Linked DNA regions of Bombyx mori. The protein of the gene in region 1 interacts with the protein of each later gene in a biochemical or structural test. Links are inferred from orthologs where the notes say so. Each region holds a gene or a part of one and is shown on either strand. Other genes may lie near its edges.

Region 1 (4,263 bases):
AATATTATCAAAGTCTAATCTAATATTTTCTCTAATACTAATCTAATAACTAATCTCTAATTAATAATATAATACGCCAAAGTTATTCAAATATATTTACAGTAAATTTAAATGGGCGTATAACTAGTGTTCGTATTAGTCCATATAGTTTTATCAGCGGCACACGCAGTGATAGAAAGAATTTATAAAACTTTTTTAAGAAATCACTTTTTGTCGGCCTACTTTAGTAATTCTGTCACGAAGCGCCTAGGTATTAAACTCAATTAAACTCAATTAATGTTTAGTTTATTCAAATTTTAGTATAATATTGCGTTATTTACCTCGAAGCGTCTTTTACTATTGTTGTGAATGTGTAACTTTTTGTAACAAAAACAAAAATCAATTCCGATGACACATTGACGTTTCTCTTTATTCGTTTTCATGTCAACGTTTAAGGGTCATTGACATCAAAACCTATAAACTCACAGTTTACCAATTTTAGATGTCTTACAAGCAATACTTTCGTTTTAGTCGATTTTTTGTATTTTCATTTATTTTAGAAACACTGTAAATTAATTAATTTGTTTTAACAGAAATTGTGGTAACCTGAATAACATTCAAAGAAAAGCAGTACATACCATCTTAATAAAGTTATTTAAAACCATGGATGTTTACTTTATTGTTAAATTAACTTTTTCGTTACAACTTCAGCCAAGTTAAATTGAGTAGATCAATAGGTAGTGTTTTAGTCCAAAATATATGTAATAACCGCTGCCTATTTTACCGTTTAACGCTATGCGAAACCTCATAAATATTTGAAATAGTCACTGGGTATGACTTTTCAAGTTCTTACAAAATTTTCTTTTTCCACTAAATTACGAAGTTTTAATGTGTGTTTCATTTCTAGCCATCCGACAATTGACCAAATCTTCAATGCTGTGGGTCGTGACCTCTATGGGATTTCAGAATCTCTCCGGTGGATTATCTTACGCCATACGTCGATATATTCTCGACGCTATAGATGACCTCAAATACGATAGTGTATTTGCGGTACGGATTTGGTCTGACCAGCGCAGGGGGACCTGCCCATCAACAACATCTAATTTCATTTAATTCCAATCCTCAATTAACTCTACTTCACTTTTTAAGCAACAGATATGGCGGGCATTGGCCTTTGGTACAAAACATTTTGATTTGGGCTCTTTTCTTTGCGTATTCAATAAATAAAAAATAAAAATTGATATTGACAGTTGACGTTTTAATTAGTGTCACAGTCTTCAGTCAGTGTTGCATTTCACTTCTTCCTATTGTGATTTTGCTGATAGGGTATCAATAAATTTCGCCGTTTCCAAGTGAAAACATAATTAATGTGAAATTTTTTAAAAGCTTTGTCTACACTACAATTAAAAATATCATATTCATACTAAAAGTTCGTTGAAAACCGCCAAAATTACGTCCAAAATGCAAAGCGTAAGTGCTCCGCGGGAGCCCACGCAACCAGTTTTAAGCACAACTTCAACTATATTAAACATGAGGGAAAAGGAGAAATACATAGAGGAATTCGACTTTCCCTTCTGCGACGAGTCTTCCAAATACGAAAAAGTAGCTAAAATCGGACAAGGAACATTCGGTGAAGTGTTCAAAGCGCGCGCGAGAAACAGTAGCAAAAAGTTTGTTGCCATGAAAAAAGTCTTAATGGACAATGAAAAAGAGGGTTTCCCGATCACGGCCCTGCGGGAAATAAAGATCTTGCAGCTCTTAAAACACGAAAACGTTGTAAACTTGATAGAAATATGCCGCACGAAGGCTACGGTTCACAATAAATACCGTTCCACTTTCTATTTGGTGTTCGACTTCTGCGAACACGATCTAGCTGGCCTGCTATCGAACGTGAATGTTAAGTTCAGTCTCGGCGAAATAAAAAAAGTCATGCAACAATTACTGAACGGACTTTATTACATACACAGCAACAAAATACTCCACAGAGACATGAAGGCTGCCAATGTACTAATAACAAAGAATGGAACATTAAAACTGGCTGACTTTGGACTTGCTCGAGCATTCAGCGTCGCAAAGTCTGGACAAGCCAATAAATATACTAATCGTGTTGTTACTTTGTGGTATAGGCCTCCAGAATTGCTGTTAGGTGAGTTTTTAAAACATATTATTTATTAATGAACAGTGTTTTTTTATGTAAACCATAATTTCTGGTAATAAGACAAATTGAGCTTGGATGAGTGGGCACCATTATTCTACTAACTCCTGTTGCTAAGTAGTAAGGCCTTGAAGTAAGCTCCCCTCCATGATGTTTCCCGAGAGCCTGTCTGTCGTCATGTCTTTCTTCAAACGAGGCTTGTGGAGAGTACTTCACGGTAGGCAACGGCTTGGCTTTGCTCCTAGTATTGCTGACGTTCATAAGCTACAACCACTCACCATCAGATGAGCCTTCTGCTCATCTGCCTACAAGAACATTTTTTTTTTTATCTAAAGCATCGAAGCAGTCATACATTTTAGTTTAAAGGAGACAAGTGTTATGTTATCTTTCATAGTGGGAGTGATTTTGAATAACTTATAACTAACATTTAATAACATGTAATAGTGAGTTGTCTTTGTCTGCTCATTTAGAAAAATATATGAAAAATGAGCTGTGGTGTGTTGTATCAGCTTTAACATGCCTTATTTAATTAAAGGTGACCGTAACTACGGTCCACCAGTGGACATGTGGGGAGCCGGATGTATCATGGCTGAAATGTGGACTCGCTCCCCGATCATGCAGGTTTGAAACTTTTCAAAGATACCGACCTGATTAAAACTACTTTTACAGTTTAATCTAGTTTTTTTTGCAAATCTAGTCAAAGGAAATAGATGCAGGGCCCTTGCTTAAAAATGCAGTAATAAGTTTTTGTGTTATCTAGTCAAAAATCACTGCTCTTGTAATGGGAAAGCATAAAATACCAAACCCTCTATTGAGTTTATTCAATAATAAACTTGCAATTTTATAATGATCACAAATTATATGCCATAAACCCCAAATTTAATGGAGTATTATTGGATAGACTTATTGGTTCAATGATGTTCATAGATAAAGGTTTACAATGAGTCACAAAATCTACGAATTATTTCTTTTCAAATTGATAAATTTTATTGTAATTGTATATTCTGTAGATATTTATGTTATTATTTTTAGAATATGTATAGAATAGTTTTAGAAATGACAGACTAAGAGGCTGAGGCTCCAGAAAGACAGACGATACACCACAGATCAGCAGTTAAAAAAAAAATTCTTGTCTACCATGGATCTTTGATTAGAAATGTAATATTTCAGGGTCCGACAGAACAGCAGCAGCTGATATTAATATCGCAGCTGTGCGGTTCCTGTACACCTGATGTCTGGCCCGGAGTGGAGAACTTGGATCTTTACAACAAAATGGAGTTGCCAAAGGGTCAAAAGAGGAAAGTCAAGGTGAATATGGAATTTAATCATTGAGATTTTTATATCTATTGGCTTAGTAAGACTGTTTGGTCAGAATCAGGGTACCTATGTACTCAATTGCAGTGTGGAAATAAGACATAATCATTTTTGAAAAAAAAAAAAGTTTTTTTTTTATCTTTGGCCGATAACACACATTCCAAGATGATATTTAAGGTCAAGGCTCAACACACTGCCTCATAAGTCAACATTTCATAGTTCATTACATATTTTCTTACAAAAACAATAAGTATTTTTGCCTACTGTCAACTAGTTATTTTATTTCTGTATCACCGTAGCCACCAAAAGCATTGTCAGCCATTATATAATTGTTATATCGGAATATAGGAGCAAAGAAACGAACATACATAATAACAGCCGGTTTATTATTGCACTGCACACTGCATAACACACACTGCAATAATACTATTGAGACTCAGATCTCATATCTCATGATGGGCGTCGAGAACATTTTGATGTTTGGTCCAGTGGGCATTTAACAATATGTGTACTTATTTTCCCATCTATGCCGCTCTCTCTTCACTGCATACTGTATATATTCATTCCAGCATCTCTTATATACTAATTAAGATTTGTATATAAACACAGGAAAGACTGAAACCATATGTGAAGGATCCCTACGGCTGTGACTTATTGGACAAACTGCTGCAGTTAGATCCTGCCAAGCGGTATGTATAATAGTTTACTTCCAGCTTACAATTTCTACAAGGAATTTATTCTATTAATGTTAATTGTTGATAGACAAGAAACTGGTTTTACCGGTGAAAGGACCTCTTGTGAGTCCGCACGGGTAG
Region 2 (4,283 bases), on another chromosome or scaffold:
AGCGCGACTCCCTTACCTCCTGTAATAAATAGAAATCGGCATTTCAAGAAGCAAAAATAAATAAAGCAAAACGATGTTAGTTCTCAGAGCAATTAAGAGAAAAGTTACTTTATTTGTTGCACCTTAAGATTGATTTAACATTAAAAGTTGTTTAAAATATGTCTTTTTATTGGTAAGTGACAGGAGTAATTTATTGCTTTGCTCGTTTTATGTGACGAATGATCGTAAGTATTAGATAATGTTTTGGAGACTTGTGACTTTATTACTCGGTGCCATAGTTGTTATTAGTTTGAAAGTATAAGTGTTTCAAAACTTTTTTCTCCGTTTGTTAGTAAACGAATGTAGCTATATAAGTATATATTCACGCGGACAGTTTTTGCTTTAATTTTGTACGTATCCCTTTATCTAGTTACTATTGTTGATCGAAGCCTACAAACGTTAGGGCGAAGCTGAAATAGCCTCTCAAGGCTATCATAGCATAGGTAGGAAAAAAAAAAAAAACGATCCGTATGATTGCTGACTAACGACCGCGTAGTGTGTAAGTTGAAGTCGTCGTGCCCTAAAGAATAAGACGTCTGGTGCATTCGTATCGAGCGATGAAACGGTTGAAGGTCGGTTTGAAGGGTGGGGCAGCCGTTGTAACTATACTGAAACTTATATCTCAAGGTGAGTGGCGCATTTAAGTTGTAGATGTCTATGGGCTCCAGTAACCACTTAACACCAGTTGAGCTGTGAGCTCGTCCACCAATCTAAGCAATAAAAAAGGTCACATAGACAGATATCCAATTAAAACCGTAGCGTATATACGTAGCGTTTTTAAGTATTGTGTACAAGAATGAAATTTTAATCAAAAAATATTTTCTTACGTGGCTTGTTTTCTTTTTAAACAGCGAATAAATTAAATATGCATATTGCAAATTAAATATGCTTAAGGATAATACACCTAAATTATGTAGGTAGTGAATATGGATCATAGTGTTAGTATCTTTACTCCATGTAACTCCATGATATGGATAAAGTGCAAAGAAACAATTTATTTAGTTAGTAAGTAGTTTAGTTTAATAGAATCCCTACATTAAAATTAGATACATCGTCTCTTGGAGAGCAAACAAGTTTTAGGCCTGCATTAGCATTTTAACCGAGAAGTAACAAAAATTTAAACAAGCTCTATTATTTTATTTTGTTAAAATAAATATTCGCTCCTGGCTTTTACACCCTGTCGCACATTATTAATTGGTACTCTTGCATCATCATAGTTTTTATTAGTAATATGCTATTGATGATATCTACTGTACTTGGCTTAATTTCTCAGCTTTACACTGCCATCGTGCGTGAACAATACGTTTCATACTCGAAAGCATTTCATACTTTTTTTAAATAAGTCTATGCTCTATGTATGCTCAAAAGCAGCCAGAATAAAAAAGGAAAGAAATTGTCTCTGCTCACAGCACGTTTTGGGCCGGATATGAACTCCTATTCGCCATGAAGATGATTGAACCTGTACTTTATTCTCATTGGCAGGAAAAGTGAAGCCGCCAAAACTGTTTTCGAATCACCAATAAGGTACTAGGATTTTGACAAAAAGCGTTATATCCGTTCAAGATGGCCGACAAAACTATACCTATTTTTGTTCCATCAGAAAAGCCTGTGAAACTCGCAAAGTGGAAAATAAAACAAGGTACTGTGGTAACACAAGGCCAAGTATTATTTTTATACAAAGATTTAGCGGGCGATGGTGAAGAGTTAAAGAAATTTAAATCATCACACGCTGGTACTGTGTCATCGATCAAGGTGAAAGAAGGAGACGTAGTAGAACCTAGGTAAGTGACGTCATGATAACAACGATAAAATAAAAACGGTGCATATATTTCATGATAAAATGTCTAACATTTATGTCATGTTTTATTCTCATTAGATGTGAAGCATATTAATAAAGCAACGCCATTGTTGCAAATCCATTTTATCGATTGAGCGCCAATTTTGAATGTTGAAAACATTTCCCGCCCTGCATGAAATAGCAGCTCGGCTGTGCCATTAACATTGAGGATGTTTTTAAGCGACGGTGATCACTTAACATCAGGTGGGCGATACCATCGTCTGTCTGACTTTAATTGCAAGCAATGACATCTTCGACTTTATTTTGTAAAGAATGTTATTTTTAAATTTGCTTCTAATGTACAATGTAAAATTTTATATCTGCCATAATATATTTATCAGACGATGTTATCGATTGTTTCAAACGTAGTATTTTGCGTTTACAGTTCGGCTGTAGCAGATTTGGAAGAATGCCGCCATCCAACAGTGATGATGGAGATGTGCGCGGAGTGTGGAGCAGACCTCCGCAGCGAGGAGACCAAGAAGCTGGACGTGGCCATTGTACCAATGGTACACTCTGTACCTGAATTAAAAGTAAACACTTTTGATTATGTCAATTACTCTGGAGAACAATTTACAAAATGTATTTATTTTCTGATGACAAAACCTAGTGGTAATAACATTTTATGAAAAGCCATTAGATCAGTTTAATTAAATAGATAAACAGTAGGGACAGCTTTAATTTAAATGAGAAGCTCCACTGAAAGAATGCAAAAAAAATCTAAAATATATCCTGAACTGAACGTAAGAAACGTTATTCTTAATAAAAGCCCTGGATTTGGGACTCATATTACAATTTGAATGTGAAATGTCATTGTCTTCAAAATCAACATTCTCACGTCTTAGATTTCATGTAGATCTTGATAGCAAATTATACCATCAATGTATATAAATCAAACTTAAACATATACATAATTACAATTTAGTGTATGTACCTACAACACCTTGAGCATTAGTTACCTGGACTGTGATATCCATACCCTATTTTCAAACTACATTCACAGGACAGTATTTATTAACAATATTAACAAGGGTCATGCGGGTGGTATTTGGAGATCTTCAATAGGGGTGTCATACTCAAGCTAAACTTAGATTTAGTAATATTTTGATTATATTTCATATTTCAGGTGTCTGAAGAACTGGCACAAAAACTAGGTAAAGAGGATGCTGAGCGTCTTCTGAAAGACAGGAAATTAGTACTTCTGGTAGATTTAGATCAAACATTAGTTCACACTACTAATGACAATATACCACCCAATCTAAAGGTGAGGGGTTTTTATTTTTCTTCTTCTATGCAATTGATTCTTCCCTAATAGTTTGAAATTGTGATTAAATAATATGTGATTTCATTAACTAGATACTGATACTATGTATACAATCTAATGTAATATGATTTTTTTGTTTCTTCAGGGAGTATTACACTTCTTCCTAAGAGGACCTGGAGGGCCAGGGCGTTGGTGTCATACGAGGCTTCGACCACGCACTCAAGAGTTTCTTGAATCAGCAGCAAAGAACTATGAACTTCACATATGTACATTTGGAGCCAGGCAATATGCACATGCCGTAGCTGAGCTCCTAGATCCGGAAAAGAAATATTTCTCACATAGGATACTATCCAGAGATGAATGCTTTGATCCTAGAACTAAAGCAGCCAATCTGAAGTAAGAATGATATTGCTAAGTAAAAGGCCTTTCCAACATTTTCAATAAGTTTTTTCTCTTGATGAGACAGACAATCAATTGTGGATATTCAGTATAATCTGAATCAAAGTAGGTTTATTAATAGACTAAAAACAGCTTTAAATTTATCAAATTGTGCTGACAGATAGAGTTTTTATCTAACTTTATCTATTAATTATCTAATCAACACTTTCTTTTATAACTGAATACTTTTTTAATAAGAAATAATTTGTGTGGACAAAATATTCTAAAATAATGCCTTTGTAAAGTTAAAATCTCTGAGTCCCATATCAATCTTGAATATTCATAACCAAAATTTTTCTAACGTATATAATTAATTTTTAAATTAATTTTAAATAGTTTTAATTGTGACTATTGTACTTTTTTGACCATTTTTTATGAACTATAATTTACAGAGCACTGTTTCCTTGTGGTGACAACATGGTTTGCATTATTGACGATCGGGAAGATGTGTGGAGACATGCTGCTAATCTAATTCATGTCAGGCCTTACTCATTTTTTCAATCGACCGGCGATATCAATGCACCGCCACCAAGTAAGAATCTCGTAAAAGAGAATATGAAATAAAATATTAAAACTAATAATTCTGGATTAACATACAAGTTTCAAATTTAAGAATGTTTGAATCTCACTTGTAATCCATACATTAGTAATAGTCCTTCTGAAGACTTTCTTTTGTATAGCTTAAAAAAAAAGACAGATACGAGG

Evidence for each region.
Region 2: of the proteins of Cdk9 (region 1) and RNA polymerase II subunit A C-terminal domain phosphatase, one has a biochemical effect on the other in vitro, tested with the Homo sapiens proteins (3 studies listed by BioGRID). The link is inferred for Bombyx mori from reciprocal best matches to the Homo sapiens genes CDK9 and CTDP1.

Annotation. Positions count from the first base shown.
Region 1 is NC_085130.1:9,750,937-9,755,199, forward strand, and holds the start of Cdk9 (cyclin dependent kinase 9), read left to right. Parts: upstream 1-1,440; coding exon 1,441-2,125; intron 2,126-2,669; coding exon 2,670-2,755; intron 2,756-3,304; coding exon 3,305-3,442; intron 3,443-4,057; coding exon 4,058-4,137; intron 4,138-4,263. UniProt on the Homo sapiens protein: Protein kinase involved in the regulation of transcription.
Region 2 is NC_085125.1:10,155,571-10,159,853, forward strand, and holds the start of RNA polymerase II subunit A C-terminal domain phosphatase, read left to right. Parts: upstream 1-1,439; 5' UTR 1,440-1,602; coding exon 1,603-1,820; intron 1,821-1,865; exon of another isoform or gene 1,866-2,080; intron 2,081-2,261; coding exon 2,262-2,409; intron 2,410-3,002; coding exon 3,003-3,140; intron 3,141-3,285; coding exon 3,286-3,536; intron 3,537-3,970; coding exon 3,971-4,110; intron 4,111-4,283. UniProt on the Homo sapiens protein: Processively dephosphorylates 'Ser-2' and 'Ser-5' of the heptad repeats YSPTSPS in the C-terminal domain of the largest RNA polymerase II subunit. This promotes the activity of RNA polymerase II.